Caenorhabditis elegans: one gene and its partner. The protein of the gene in region 2 interacts with the protein of the main gene of each other region in a pairwise test. Each region holds a gene or a part of one and is shown on either strand. Other genes may lie near its edges.

Region 1 (7,630 bases), on a different chromosome or scaffold from region 2:
TGAAATAATACTTGCGTAAATAACATTAAAATAAATAATCGAAAAATAAGTAAACGCCTCAAATCTTCTCGTTTTTCTTTTCCTTTTCCGTATCCGGACCTCGTTTTCCTCGATATCCTGAACACCATGGACAGTCTCCGTTACTTGGTGGAGGCAAAAGTCCCGGTAATCCACCGAATCCGTTTGAGTTTCCGATTAAACTTTGCGCAAGTGAAACTTGAGGTTGAACTGTTCCATATGATTGTTGCTGTTGTTGGAATGCTTGTTGAACAGTTGGAAGATCTTCTGGTGGATGTGTTGAACCCCATGATGAAGAAGTTGGGTATGCTGATGGAGCAAAAGTTGATGGGGGATATGTGGATGGGATCGAGGATCCATATGTTGTGGATGACGTGGCAGGCGGTGGGGAATATGCGGTAGATGATGTGGATGCTGGAGATGATGGTTGTGCAAACTCGATGTCAAATGCTGGGTCTTGTGCTGCCATTGCCTGGAAATATAACAACTTAGGTGAAATATAATATTTTTAGTAGATGTAAATTTATTAAATTTAAAATCGAAAATTGATTTAGCTGTTAGCTGACAATTTTTCACCAAACCTGGGAAATGGGGTGCAGTACTATTAGAGGAAATACACTTTTTTCCCATAATTTTTACATTATTATTATTATTATTATTGCGATGAGCACGTCACAGAAAAAAGATTTTCAAAAACCTCAGAGTCCAATAGTTTCTTTTTTTTTTCAAAAATCCCATATTATTTGCATAGTCTCAATCATTTTATTCTATTGTTCCTCCGATCAATCCACGCGGAAAAGTTTCAAATTTCCTTGAAATTTTTTGCTTTCAATATTGACACAAACCTGTTGAATTCTCCTCCCGATTGATTTTCCGATCGCTGAGCCAAATGTTTCGGCTTCTTGACCATAACTATTAAATACACGAGGTTGGGAGGGTGGCTGACGTTGAGGAGATCTGGAATAGAAAAAGATTATGAGTTTTTAAAGTTTTTACTTTTTTTTTGAATTTTTGGATTCAGAGAATTTTTTCAAAAATTTCCAAAATACAGAGAACTCACGTAAATCCGGGGAATCTGCTGAAAAATTGTTCAAAATTAAAGTTGAACTTTTTCTGCGGATATGACCTATATTGTTGCACTATTCGCCGATTTCCACATTGTTGGCACTGTGGTGTGATTTGCTGTGCTGGAAATTGAAACACAAATTAGCGAAAAATGGTGTTTTCATCCCTCAATTGTTCTGTTCAAACTACTTTCTTATTCCAAAAAAATCTCGAGAACTGGCTTTTTTTAGATAATTTTACAACTTTTTAAATATGGAGAATTGCTTCAAAACTTAAAATGAATTGAATTTCCATAGTTTAATTCTCTGAATATTAGCGCCAATCTCGTTTTCGGCATATATTTTTTTTGTGAAAAAAATCATTGTTTTTTCCTTTCATAAAATCTAAAATATTAGAAATGATATGCAAACGCTGTGCATACCAAAACAAAATTGGCAATGAGCAGGCAAGAAAAAAAAAATAGGCACATAGGCCTGAAGGCTAATCAGGTCAAAATATACTAATATGGACTTAAAATATATAAAAACACAAAATAGAAAAAACACTAACATTTCTTTTTTTTTCCCAAAATTGTTCTGTTAAATTTTTGCAAAAGTTGTACTTTTTCTAAAAATCTGGAACAATTTCGCAAGCTCCTACAGTGTTAGATTATAAGTAATATGTAAATTTGTAGTTTCTTCTTACCGTACCCCTTTAAAGGATCAAACGTTTAAAAATTACCTGCCAGTAATAAAATGAGTAAAGCTAACATATATAGTTTGATTGAAACACGCGGGAAATACGTGAATTGCATACATCAATCTGTATTTATATGTATCCGTGAATTGGAGACCACTGAACTGGTTAGCTCAATGAGCAGCAGCAGGCTCTGCGGACAACCCAGAGAGCAAATAAATGAGCACGGACATTTTTGATTCAATTGAAATACAGAAAGTGAGAGAGCAGCATTATTGTTGTTGTTTTTTATGTGTTCTTGCTCCCTCATTCTCTCTTGTACACACAACACATTTTGTATTGTCATTGGTCAGATGGTTGTGGCACATACGGAACACGGATTACGTGGACTACTTCACAGAAACGTGAATCGGAACACAAAAAGTCATAAAAGAGGAACTCAAAGAAGAAGCATCAACAGGTTTTGAACGGAAATCGGATTTATTGGATGGGAGGTGGATTTTACTCAACTGCGACTGCAACCTTTTCTGGCAACTTGGCTTGAAAATGGAGTAAAAAAATCTGTAAAAAAAAAAAAGTTCGAATGCCAAATAATTTTTAAGGTTTTTAAAACAATTTTTATAGTCTTTTTTCTTTGGTTTTCAAACTTTATTATTTATAAACTTGTTAAATATAAAAACATTAAATTTTACAATTGAATTTCTTTGGACTTTCCAGTAGTAGGACTGGCTGTGGTCTTTGCTCCAACTCCTGAGCTTTTTCCAGCTACAAATGGAATTTTCTCGACTTCCTTCCGCGCGGAAAGTGTTCTCAATGACTCCTGAGGAACTGATTGTGTCTTGTAATTTTTATCGATTTTCTTGAAATCATCTTCCAGTTGGATCTCGTCCCCACGATCATCAATGGATTTTTTGAACATATCCTCGACTTGTTTGTTTGTCCATTTGTTTTTGTTCCATGAATCATCTCCAGCAACTGTTTGTTTTGTCCTTTAAAAGGTTAATTAAACACTTTTAATTGAAAATATTTAAATTCTTGAAATGTTTGAAGTTAAAGATTTCTTACATTTTTGGCTCGTTGGCTGCATTTGAGCCTCCATAGTTGTAGTTGCTGCTCCAGTCACTGAAAAAAAAACAATTTAGTTAAAATGAAGCGCCACTATTTCTGCAGTAAATATACGAGTGAATAAGTTTTTTAAAAAGTTATTTCAAACTTGGAAGCCATCTGAAAACGGTTAAAAAAATGGTTTAAAAATTAGGGAATTCTACAAAACCCAGATACACTTTTTTAAACAATATCACCTGTAAAAACAGGCTTACTTATTATTTCCCCATCCATTGTTATTCGATCCACCATTATTATTATTATTATTATTATTAGCATTCCCATTTCCCCACGATCCTCCGCTTGCTCCATTATTGTTTCCTCCGCTGTTCCAGTTGCCACTGTTTCCACCACCATTTTGGATTTGTTTCGGGCTGGAAAAATTAAAAATTGCTAGTAATTAAATTATTTTTGACAAAAATAACTTTTTTCAAACAAAAAATGACCGTTGTGCACTTAGAAGTAAAGAATCATAGTTGTTAGAAAATGTTCTGCAGTACTAATTATTGAGAGCTTATTTTGAAATTGAGAACATTATTATTCATTTACAAAGGCTCATATTTTGAGTACAAATTTATGAACACTGTGAAATAATTTAACAGAAAAAAACTTTTAATTAAAAAAGTTTTTAGAGTAATTTATTGTGGAACCATCGAGCAGTGCAGGAAGAATTCCATTAAATTGTTTCAAATATAAATTGTTCTCGAAAAAAGGTTACAGTAATAGACATTACTAATAAAAAATATACGGTATATGTAGTTAACAACCAAACAAGTTCCTATAAAAACATTTTGAATAGAAATTTTAATTTTTCCAAGTGAACAGTTAGAGTTTAAAAAATGGAAACTAACTTGTCAGAATATACAGGGTTTCCACCAACATTGCATCGATCATAACTACAACAGCACAAACTGACTGGAACCATTTGGAAGGTTGTGAAGATACATGTGTCTTTTGCTAGCTGAAATGGCAACCTGATTGTAGATTTAGAAAAAAACTATTTTGGGAAATAAGTGAGTGCCAAGAAATACATCCCTAACCCAAGTTTAAGTTTAGAAATCATGAATTTTAGACTAACCATACACCTCCATCTCGAACATCCAGCCTTCACAAAATTGACCATAACCATTGCAGAAGTTGACATATTATAGCAATATGATGACTCGGGGCACTCCTCTGTTGTCTCACCTACACTTTGAAACGCCAACGTTTTACTTCCCTGCAATCAATATTTTTTCACAAATTTAAACCTAATCTTCTGAGTTCTCAACTTTCAGATGTTCTGAAAATTTCGGAAACTCACATTATAACAAGTCAGCGAATAAACGGTCCCAACTGCCAAACCGACAGTTATTAGAAGTTTCAGCATTTCTTAATCTCTTCAAATTGAAAAAAATTAAATCGATAGTTAATGTCAGGTACACAAATGTGAGTTGCTTTCTTCAACTGAGCCAACCTAACAACTGTTGTTATTAAGTGAAAAGAGAAAAGGAAGAAGAGATAATTGATCAAGAGAGAAATAGAGACACGGATATTGAACAACGATTCGAAACACAACTTGTTTTCATGATCAACAGGCAAGTGTGAATCATCTATTTTGAATGGTTATTGGTCTAGATAGACGAAATTTGAACAGTGGTACCTGAAATTCCTAAAATAATTCAGGTTTCAAATAAATTTTCCAAAAACTTTACTTCACATTTTTTTCATTGACATTAATTGTGATGGTATTTCAATTTGAGACATAAACAGTCAATGTTAAATAATTTATTTTGAATTTTAAACATATGTTTTCAAAAAAATATGTAGTATCTACACGCTATTCTATACAACGACCCGTGTGCAAAACTTTCTTGAGCAAGTGATTAATATGGTGAGTTCATTCCGAGTTTTGTATCAAATTCGAATTTGGTTCTTCTTTGTTCACGAGTGAATTGACGTATCCGACGGATTTTGATCAACTCATTGACGATTACAATAATACATATCCATATGAATAAAATTCCCAATGGAAGAAGGGAAAAGAGGTCGGAAAGATGAACACCTCGAAGATATGAATAGCCAATCTGGAAATTGAAGAGTATAGAGGTTTCTAGGGGAAAAACTCAAAAAGTGTGCAAAAAACGAATTTCTACGTTTGAAAATCAATTCAAGTATTAGTTCTCAACGCTTCAATCATACCTGGGTGATAAGACACACAATGACAGCTGCATCCCAAAGAAGACACTTAATTGGAAATTCGTACCATAGAGAAGATAGCCCGTAGACAAAACTTGATGACAAGACACAATAGATAACAGTTATCTGAAAGTCTTTCAGTCGAAATTATTTCTTGATAATTCTTTCAACGTACCTGTAATCCAATGATATGCCTTATTGTCTCAGTTGATAGACTAACTTGTCCCAATCTTGTCTCATTAAATTCCAAAAGTGGCTGTGAACCTGCAGATCCGTCCGTATTGAATAAGCACGAAATATCGGAAAATGAGCACATGAGATTGGAGTTTGCCATTAAAAGGATGAGAAATAGAATGTTGATGTATACAGCAGATGGAACAAATTGCCAAATGAACTGACTCACTGTTTTCAGCTTTTCTACTTTTGGAATTTCAGATGAGTTCTGGAATATTTGGATTTTAATTGGAAATTGCAAAGAACACAAAGTTTTTGGGTTTTCTCAAAATGCTTTAACTCATAAACTTCAATATAATTTTACTCTTACAGTTTACAGCTCATACAAAATGTAAGTTTTATGTCAATCCTGAACCACTTTTTTTCAATTTTAAAATAACTAACCTTTGGTGCGATCCTTATTATCTTTGATTTTGGCTCAAAACTTGTGAATAAAGTGCCCAAAAACAATACAGGAATATGTAGAAATGAGGTCAAAATAGTTTGAGAATGTGTGAAAATAATTGGTAGAAAGAAGAATGTTGACATGAGAATTGTCACTGAATATAAAAGTGAAGCATATAGAATAAATAGAAGAGAATGACGGAATGATGACATTCGATGACGAGCACATACTATCAGTGATGACATTTTTAGAAGCTGTAATTTAGAAAAAAAATATTTTTGTAGAGTGTTAGAATTTTGTTTTAAAAGAGGAGTAGCGCAAGGGAAGTTTTTGAAATTGAATATCTTTAACAATTTTTAGACTTTCTAATGTTTTCAGTCAGAGTTTTAGCATCATGAAAAAATTTTGAAAATGTTTTTTTGGCTATTTGAGAAATTTAGCGCATTTTTTCCTGTTCGAACAGTATTTGAACATGAATCTAAAAAACCATGGTTAAAATTTAAAACTTTAAGTATTAAAATTTAAAAAAAAACCATTTTCCCACTGAATTTAGCTACGATAACTACATTCTGTTTAAAAAATGAACTAGAATGAAAAATACCTTTACATGATCCAATCGAAAATCCGTGGCTAACGCAGTAAGCCTACTTGAAATCTGCATAACATTATTGTTCACAGATTCAACTGGATGATCCAATAGCCGGCATGCGGGTTCTTCTACATCATCCACACACACGGAAATATTAGCTTTTGAGTAGATCATTGAATTACTCGCATTCCGACAACTTCCCACTACCATCACAACTTCTCCATTTTCCTGAAACCCTGATTATCTAGGAAATCCAAAACTCATCAATACCTGCATAATCTCAATCATTTCCTCGACCGCAGAAGTGTTTGAATCTGTGAATAATCCAACGAGAAGTGGAACATTATCTACTTCATCCAAATGCGGCCGAACATTCTGAACACCCGTCGGGAGTCGTGCAATATTTGGGATTGGAGCCATTTTCGCAGAAACCACGCTCATTTTCCGAAGGGATGGAGATCCACGGGCGAGAGATTCGCAGTCCAGACTTTCCAAGTTAGATTCACTTCTGAAGTTCAAAATATTTTGGATACACTCAAGTTCTCTGGCTTCGACGCTTTTAGATTTGCTCACTAGTTTATTTTGGAATTAACTTACAATGCGATTCGTCTCCAAAACTTTGATCTACTTGGTTTCTGCGCCAAAAATTGTTCATGAGCCACACCAGCCTTCCTTACAGGCGCCGATTCCTCTTCGGCTAACGAAATATGACAATTCCATCCGGCTTCAATTCCAAGTTTCTCCGCAAAAACTCTACTCCGCAGCTCGTTTTCTTTTGAAAAATAAACAGGGCGAACACATATTTGATCCAGTTTCTCAATAATTGAAACAGATTGTGGAATTGGTTCATAGTGCAGAACAACGAGTCCACACAGAATTTGACCCGTGAAATATTGATCGATTGCAGAGTCAGCGGTACGAACGGTTTTTGTGTAGTCAATTTCGTCGAACGATTCTGAAGAAGTCTCGTAGATTATGTGTTTGAAGCCAAGATATGGGCGGAGCCTCTACTTCATGCCAAAATTTAGACGGATCCAATATTTAATACACAGATTTAGGAATTGCATTTTTGAAGCGGCAATATTAATTTAAATTCGAAAAGTATCTAACAACAGATAATTGACCAAACACAAGAAAAATTGATTTTTCTCATAACTAGGACATTTTTGTAGTTTTCAAAAATTACCGTTACTGTGACTTCTTGGCAGTGCTGTTTCAATTTTCGAGTGTTCTTGATTCAATGGAACTTCTACATACTTTCCAGCCAATGAAGTTGCTAACTTTGAGAAACATGGACGGTATGAAACAGCTAGGCAATGCCCAGTCATTGAATGTCTCAAATAAAAATCTTTTACCGAAGATTTCAATCTTTTTGACATTGG
Region 2 (8,409 bases):
CGTTGATGAATATGATCACATCTGTAAGTTAAGACGTTATTGATTGTTAATATACATAAGTGGCTGGCATCCTACAAGGATGGCGTTTGATAAGTTTGACCTTAAATTATCGCCATCTTTTTGTTAGCTAGAAAGGGCGTAGAGGGCGCCAACGGGCAAATCTCCAGCAACTACCAGCCAGTAGCTGGCAATAGCAAAAATGGCGGGCGAGTAGCGGAAGACAGCGGGTGAATCTGGGGCAACTGCCGGCCAAGTGGTATGGAATAGCAAAAACCTCGGTGAACATTGGGCAAGCAGCAGGCAACATCGGAAAAGTAGCGGGCAAATTTGGCGAGTTTCGGGCGCGTTGGGGGCGAAAACTGGCGACGTAGATGGGAAGGGCTCACTCGTAATTTGCTCGATGTTCCCAAAAATAAGGACCCCCCAGAATGGAAATGACCCTCATTATAGCCCCATCCTCACCTGAATTGCTCTCTAAAAAACCAATTGAATTACAGGATCTTGACATTGTGGACACCCAGTTTCCTCTATTTTTCAAATTCTCATTTGAATGCACCCTCCACATTCTTATGATATTCGCTATAGTCTGTGTGAATGTGCCAGTTTTTGCGATTTTCGTGGTGGCATTCTTGATATTCCTTGTCGGACTACTTCGGTATTTCCTGCCAGCTCTTCACAAAATTTCGAGCCTCGAGGAACAAAAACGAGACTTATTTCTGTGCGGGTCTATTGAAGATTTTGAAGCAAGAATTATGGTGCGAACGTTTGGAAAGGTAGTTTTAAACTTTTATTTTCCAGAAAAAAATGAATAGAAATGTTTTCAGACACGCCAAACGCTTGCAAAAACTAGTGTGAATGCAGATATACTGACGAGATGCCGAATGGCAAGATATTCAACTCTCAGATGGATTTCTCTTCGAACTGAGTTCATCTCAAATCTCATGGTTTTTCAGTTATAGGTTTTGAATCAAAACAATATTTTAATTACAGATTTGTATGTGTTTCTTCATCGCATCAATTTGTTTGAAAGTGGATTACATTGGAAATGCACAATTCGCTCTTTCAGTTGCATCAATTCTATGTGTAAGGGGTTTTTATTTTTAGTAAATTTAGAGTAGCCAACCAGAATCAGAAAAGAAGAAACTCAAAAGTTCCAAAAAAATTCAGATTAGCGAACTTGTTTCAACATTCATCCGAACCACGTGCATCCTTGAATCTCTAACTCCACACGTTCAACGTATCAGCAATGTGAGAGAATATCCAAAAGAGCCCATGATTGATAAATGCACCATCCGAGACTCTTGGCCGGACGACGGAAAAATTGAAATCAAAAAGTTTGCTTACCTTTTATTTCCCTCAATTTTCATATCAATTCAAATATTTCCAGCTTGAATGTATTCGCCAACAAGTACAGACACGTCATTAAAGATGTCTCCTTGGTAATAGAAGAACGAGAGAAACTGGGAATTATCGGTAAAGTTGGATCGGGAAAATCTCAACTGGCAAAGACATTGGTCATGATGAGCTCAGCAGACAAAGAGAGCCATATCGTTGTAGATGATTTGGACATTTTCGAGATGAGTGTAAAAACTTTGAGATCAAGGATCACAGTTATACCACAGGTGAGAAATTACAAAAACTGGTGGTTATAATTGAATTTGTTACCAGAAAGCAAAAATATTCTCGGACACTCTCCGTAGCAACATTGACCCATGTTGCCAGTTTGCTGATAGTGATATTTGGTTGGCAATTGAGGCATGTCAACTCAGAGAATATGTGAAAAGTCTACCGGATGGTTTGCATCAAATGGTGTCTCCTGAAAAAATGAGTAATGAGCAGAAATGTCAGGTGAATGTTTGCCGAGCACTTCTAAAAGGTGGTCAGATCTTTGTGATTGATCAATCGACGAAGATGATGAAAGAACCAATCAAGTCTTTGGTGAATGAGGCAATAAGAAATAGTTTGAAACAAAGTACTACAATTTGGATTGGTGAAGACTTTTCCGATGTTGAACATTGTGATAGGTAAGTACCAGAGTTTCTTTTAACGACTAGGCATTATATAATTATTTGAAGGAGGGGTTCTGAAATTAAAGATTATCATTTTCAACTCTTTCTTATTTTCATATTTGAATTCCCTCCAAACGAGAACTGCAAAACCAATCAGCAACTAGTTTCAGGGGTGCACGGCAATTGCCGTGCGGCATTCGAATTTTCGGCAATTTCGGCAGTTTCGGCAATTGCCAAAAATTTCCAAAACCGGCAATTGCCGAAATTGTCGATGGCCGGAAATTTCCAAAGCCGGCAATTGCTGAAATTTCGGATTGCCGGAAATTTCCAAAACCTGCAATTGCTGAAATTGCTGATTGCCGGAAATTTCCGATTGCCGCGCACCCTAGAATATCTTTTCTTTCACTATTTTTAAATTTTTATTTTATTGTAATTCAGCACTTTAGACCATTTTGAGTATCTTTAATCAAATATTTTTTTTGAGAAAACTAGAAACTTCATAATTTTTTAAACAATAACTAGATATGCTCCAGAAGAAACTTTATTTTCAGAGTCGTTGTAATTGAGAATGGTGTAATTCTCACAACGGACACTCCACAAAACTTGATTTCGGAATTCGGATCCCTTCAAAAATGCCTTTTGAACTTTTCGAAATGATGTTTAAAGTTGTTTTATTTTTTTTACCATTTATTAATTAACAATAATTTACCTAATCTTTCTTATTTTTTGGGCTACTCGTAATAATACTAATGTTTGAAATTCGAAGAACAATAAAAATTAAAACTGGGATCGAAGCTGCAGTAATAATGATATCAAGATTGTAAAATGTGAAAAAGTCCATATGTTTTCCCTCGTATTGCAATTCTTCTACACCGTCGTTTTCCAGCACCCAATTTGTCATTTTAACCAGTCTTTCAGATGCCGATTGAGGCTTGCTACGCATCAACTTTTTCAGACGGTTTGCTTTTTCTTGGTATCTGAAAATGAAATTAGAGGTGATTGTTTTATTTTTGAAGTTTCTAGAAAAAATGGATGAAATACACGTTCTTTTAAATATGGTCCTCAAAAATGGCCTTCAAAAAACTAGCTTCGGCGGAACCAGGGGTGTGCGGCAATTCTCAAATTTAGGCGAGCTAGGTGAATTCGGCAATTTTGGCAAATTTGCCGCACACACCTAGGCGGAACTAGAATTAATTTAATCTACCGCAACTATCAGCAATTATCAGCACGATTTTTCTAGTATTTTAGCGTAAAGCACAAATTTTAGACGTGCTCAAAAAAGTGTTCAAAACTAACGTTGGATTAACGAGAATCTCCTTGATAGCTCCCTCAATCGCATCTGGATCTTTAATCAACTGGAACCTATCTCTCAGAATTCCCCATCCTTTTCTCTCGACAGACCGTCCATTTCTTGGTTGATCAAACATAAATGGAATAAGAATAACTGGAACACCTGCATAGGCAGATTCCATCAAACTGTTGTAACCAGCATGTGTGATGAATGCTTTCAGTCTTGGATGAGCAAGAACTGCGGTTTGGGGAACCCAATCCACGACGAGGACATTTGAGAGTCCCTCAGCAAGATCAAAACTTCTCTGAAAATGAGTAAATGGGAGTTTTCTTGGATTTATAGGAATTTTCTTACTCTATCAAACTTGTCAACTTTAATTATGAACTCATAATCTTTGAATTTTTGAGTGATCTTCATTAAGTTTTCCATGATAGTTGGTGGTAGATTAGTAGTGTTGGCAATTGTCCCCAATGAGAATAAAATCACTCCTTTTCCTTTTTCCATAATTTTCACAAATTTCTGAATATATGAAGCCTTTAAGAAAGTTTGAAAGATTCTACTAACCTCGTCCAAGCCACCTCCTTCACTTGACAAGCCAAGCCCTCCGATGTGTACAACATTCGAAAGAGTGGGAGCTTGAATTTCCAAAAGTTCATCTGTTGAAACAAATATAAGATCAGAAGTTTTTGCCAAGAATTCGACACATGGGAAGTCAGATCTGTAGAAATTATTTAATTAAACGTAATTATCTCCCAAATTCTTACCCAAAGTTCTTTTTAAACATATCGTTTGTCAGTACAACATCCCTATATTCGTCTCTAATATGTGCCATTTGGAGCACAAAGTTCTTGGCTCTTTGCCAGAATGGAGCCGGGGTAGCGTCCAATGTTGACATGAAGGGTATCAAGCTGGACGGCGTTGGAATTCCGAGACTATCACGCATACTAACGCTCATTGTGCAACTGAAAATCTTAATGTTCTTTTTAGTTTAAAAAACCAAAACCAATACCTGGCAATCCAAAACCTGTGCTTGATGCCTATAAGATGAGCCAACCCCATTCCACACAAATGAATCTGCTCACCGAAATATGCATCGAACTTTTCTTTTTTCAGTTTTTCGATAAGTTCTTTGTTCGTTACCATTTCTGAACCGGAAAATACAGTAAAATTTGAATTCAGTTTAGAGCATACCTTCGCACATATTTGTGTATTCATCCTGATATGGATCACTATCCGTATTGAAAATTTTGCTCCAAATTGAAGATTGTTGGAATACGTCTCCAGATAACCCTGAAAATAAATTTTTAGTACCTAATAAGTACAGATTATTTAGCGTTTTATCACTCAAAATATTCCAAAAGACTGAATTTTTGTGTGAAACTTGTCAAATGATTTACCGAAACTTTTAAGGCGGCACAAAATTCAACAAAAAATTAGTTTTGCTCTTCTTGAAGTTACTGGGTAATTCGAGAAACATCAGTGAAAAATCAATTTTTAAATACTCACCATTTTGAATTTTCTTGAACTTATAGTTATTCAATCCAGTAACTGGCCATCTTCTACACTTTTTGCATGGCACAAATTTGTCTGTTAAATTCAAAAAATCTGGCTCGAAATTCACAACCTCGTGTCCAGCATTCGCCAACTCATCTGCGATTCTTCCCTGTGAGATCATATGTGACTTGCTTGCAGTTGGCGAGAACATCAGGATTTTGTGAGAGGTAGTCACTTGGCAAACAGCAAGAAATGTGAGTATCCGTAACAACATTTTTAAAGCTGAAATTAAAATGAATTTCAGAGTTTAATTTTTTATTTTAAAAGTTATAGTAATCATTTAACAAGTATCAAAAATAAACCGAAAAGAAGAATTGGAAATTATGTATATGCAAACGAAACTATTATTATCAGTTGTACGTACTAACCATTCCAATTGATAAGAAATATGTGAACTGTGAAAGTTGATGGTATTATGATGACTATATATTTGCAAAAGTCATCATTTTTAATAGATCCATGTCAAATATTTTGACATCTCTGAAATATTCAAGTTACTGTAAAAAAATAGAGTTGACCAAAAAGAATTTATTCAAATAAATAACTTTTTGCAGTTACAAAACTCTCTGTCTTTGTGCCATTAAGGCAGGCGTAACATGCCGTAAAGGTGGCCTCCGCCTTTTTTACTGCGGTTGCCTGGTAGGCACACAGGCAGGAATTTTTTATTTTTTTTATTGGCTCTAATTTTTTTCTCATAAAGTTTTCTTTTCTCTATTCAAAGCTTTCAATTTAAAAAAAAACTCAAAGAGCACTTAAAGCTCAAAAGCCCAAAAGATCAAGGAAATGCTGCTGCTGCGTATTGACGGATAGATGGCTTGCAAATCTTTTATATGTACTTGTAAAAGTTACGTAAAATTGCGCAATATGATAGGAAACCGAGCATTTGGCAGACAATTTTCGAAAATTTTCGCCGAGGGCAATTATCAAAAGATGAACTTACATATATTAGGTTGGTCGAAAAGTCTTTGCAAAATTTTGATTTTTTTTGGAAGTAGTATTTTTTCAAAGCGAACAAGATTCAATGGGTAATATATTTACCATTAATGCCTATGACTTCTTGCCAACACAACGGAAGTTGAACAGTACCCTCCGCCTAGAACTCCTGCGATTAGGAGGCAAAGAAGTCGTCCAACCCCGTTTCGACGACCTTTCGATCATGAAACTTCTGCCCGGCAAGGTGATTCTGGAGTGAGCGGAACAGATGGTAGTCAGTAGGAGCCAAGCCCGGCGAATACGATGGGTAAGACAAAATTTGGATTCCGACTGTCTGGAGCTTCTGGCGGGTCTTAAAAGTTGTATGCGGTCTTGCGTTGTCATGGAGCAGCAACAACTTTGATCCTCTAGGGCGATGTAATCGATGAGCATGGACCATCTTTTCCAATTAAATGCTGTATAGGCCAGCGTTGATTGTAGCAAAGTCTGGAAGAAGCTCTCTGGAAATGACACCCTTACTGTCCCGCCCAATTGAGAGAAGCACTTTTTCCGTGAAGTTCTAATTTGAGGTCAGGTGTCGCGGTTTCCTCGACCGGGACCCACTCTTTTTTCCTGGTATGGCTAACATACAATACCCATTTATCATTTCCAGTAATGATATCCTTAACCCAGTCCGTTGTTCGTTTCCTAGTGAGCAGCGAAAGAGAGAGGTCACAAAACAATTTTTCTGAGAATCGGGCAAATTGTGAGGAACGAGTTGACCGAACTTTTCTACCCTTCCGGTTTCGTGGAGATGGTTGATGATGGTTTTTTGGGGATGCTTGAGAGTCGCAGAAAGTTCGCGGTTCGTTGCTCTTGGATCATCTTCCAGGGCTCTCGAAATATCCTCGTCGATATTCAAACGAGAGCGATCTTATCTTGGTTTATCATCGAGATCGTAGTTCTTTTTCGTGAACTTTTCGAACCAAAACTTCATGGTATTATAGGTGACAGAGTTCTTGCCTAACACTGCACACATGTTACGACGAGTTTCGTTGCAATTGCAGATTTGGGGGAACTCGTACAGAAAAACCCATCGGAGGGCGTGACGTTCGGCGAGCAAATTCTCGGTCATTTTGAACAGCACCCAAAAGTTTTTTTTAAATATATTAAACATGCACATTACGTACTATGCAAATAAAAAAACAGAATCAGAAAAAAAATGAATTAACGCTGAGAAATGAAGAAAAGTACAAATTTTGCAAAGACTTTTCGACCAACCTAATACAAATACTATAAATCCTAAAGGCACACGTCAAGCCATGAACTTTGTAGCGATTATTGTAATGTTCTCACAATAAAAACTGTTAGTCTTTCTCTGTTGCACAATATAAATTGCATAGTCTTTTTCATCGTCTGATGTTGTTTCCCTTGGCATTTTCATTTTTAAGGCCCAAAGAATTTTGCTCAAAAATTGTCCTTCTATTTGGAAAGAGTTGGCTCACTATCAGAAGTTGATAATGCACTTTTCAAAGTTTCTGTTTGCACCCCCAGTTGCAAAATTTTAAAATAAAATCTTTAATAAAACTGGAGACTGGTAAAACAAGAAGGCAAGACCCACAGAAAAGAAAAGAAATGTCGCTATAATTCAGGATGGTTCAGATTTTTCAGAGAACCATTGGAACAACAAAATGAGCATTGATGTGAATTTTTGGTAAGGCACTTTGTGAATGGTAAAGGAATTGATAAGTAATATAAAAGAAGCACTAGGAATAAGAAAAAAAATCACAGAAAATAGAAAAGAACAACCCGAAAAGAATCACAATAATTATAATGAAAAAAAAAATCTCTATAACATTAATTTAAAAAATGAGAAATAAAAAGAATTTTACTGCTGAAGTCCTTGAAGCTTGCGTCGAAGAACTATTATCAGCCGTTTTTGTCTGAAATTCGAAGATATTTGATATTAAAAGCCAATCGTTACGCCTACTTGTCAATTTCCGTCCGTAGCCTTGTCAAATCTTCACATTCGCTGAAATCAGCTTGTGTCCAGTTGGTCATAGCTGACATATTGGAAATTGTTCTTGTATTGGATCTAGGTGGAGCAATTGGTGTAGACGATTTTAGTCTGAAAGTTAAAAAAAAAAGGTTAATATTCTTTTTTAGATCTTTGAACATTTAGGAAACAAAACTGCCCCATTGCATTTTGAATAAATTTAATGTTTCCAAATACGTTTCAAGTGGCTAACTTAGGATTGCAAAACAAAATTCCTACTTTTCGAGCACGAAAAACCTATCAATTTCGAAAACTTAAGTGGTCATTAATTTAAATTTTAAGCAAATCTACATAATTTCTCTACTTTAAAATTTCATTTCTCGGTTAGTTTTGAGGTTATCAAAAAAATATCAGCTATTAACAACCAAGTTATTAACAATTAAAAAAGACCAATGTTGTATATAAATTGATATGGTATAATGTGCGGCAACCGGCAAATTTTGACAATTTTCAAACATATATTTTTTGTTGATCTTATTTTGGATCGTCTTTTAGAAAAATGTAGTTTTTTTCAAGGAGATATGCTCGCATCTTTCAGGTGCTCTGAACGCGCATTTAGGATTTATTAAGTTGAAATTGATATCGGC

Evidence for each region. The genes of interacting proteins can lie anywhere in the genome.
Region 1: the proteins of ugt-48 (region 2) and pqn-24 interact in a two-hybrid assay, tested with the Caenorhabditis elegans proteins (one large-scale study listed by BioGRID).

The regions. Positions count from the first base shown.
Region 1 is NC_003279.8:4,560,741-4,568,370, reverse strand, and holds pqn-24 (Prion-like-(Q/N-rich)-domain-bearing protein), read right to left. Parts: upstream 4,337-7,630; 5' UTR 4,232-4,336; coding exon 4,166-4,231; intron 4,082-4,165; coding exon 3,941-4,081; intron 3,824-3,940; coding exon 3,714-3,823; intron 3,237-3,713; coding exon 3,078-3,236; intron 2,881-3,077; coding exon 2,824-2,880; intron 2,748-2,823; coding exon 2,447-2,747; 3' UTR 2,389-2,446; downstream 1-2,388. Other genes in the region: idpp-10 (Intrinsically Disordered Protein, expressed in Pharynx), read right to left, coding at 59-490, 864-975, 1,079-1,205, 1,804-1,876; D1007.15 (Cation-transporting P-type ATPase C-terminal domain-containing protein), read right to left, coding at 4,728-4,928, 5,044-5,166, 5,216-5,482, 5,659-5,913, 6,261-6,476, 6,519-6,756, 6,846-7,203, 7,435-7,630.
Region 2 is NC_003283.11:5,542,987-5,551,395, forward strand, and holds ugt-48 (Putative UDP-glucuronosyltransferase ugt-48), read right to left. Parts: upstream 5,077-8,409; 5' UTR 5,069-5,076; coding exon 4,807-5,068; intron 4,591-4,806; coding exon 4,492-4,590; intron 4,446-4,491; coding exon 4,310-4,445; intron 4,263-4,309; coding exon 4,065-4,262; intron 4,019-4,064; coding exon 3,865-4,018; intron 3,820-3,864; coding exon 3,655-3,819; intron 3,605-3,654; coding exon 3,306-3,604; intron 2,987-3,305; coding exon 2,719-2,986; 3' UTR 2,683-2,718; downstream 1-2,682. Other genes in the region: cft-1 (Cystic Fibrosis Transmembrane conductance regulator homolog), read left to right, coding at 1-23, 498-773, 825-944, 991-1,083, 1,168-1,334, 1,388-1,622, 1,669-2,024, 2,561-2,666; C18C4.7 (Golgin-84), read right to left, coding at 7,655-7,709, 7,757-7,894.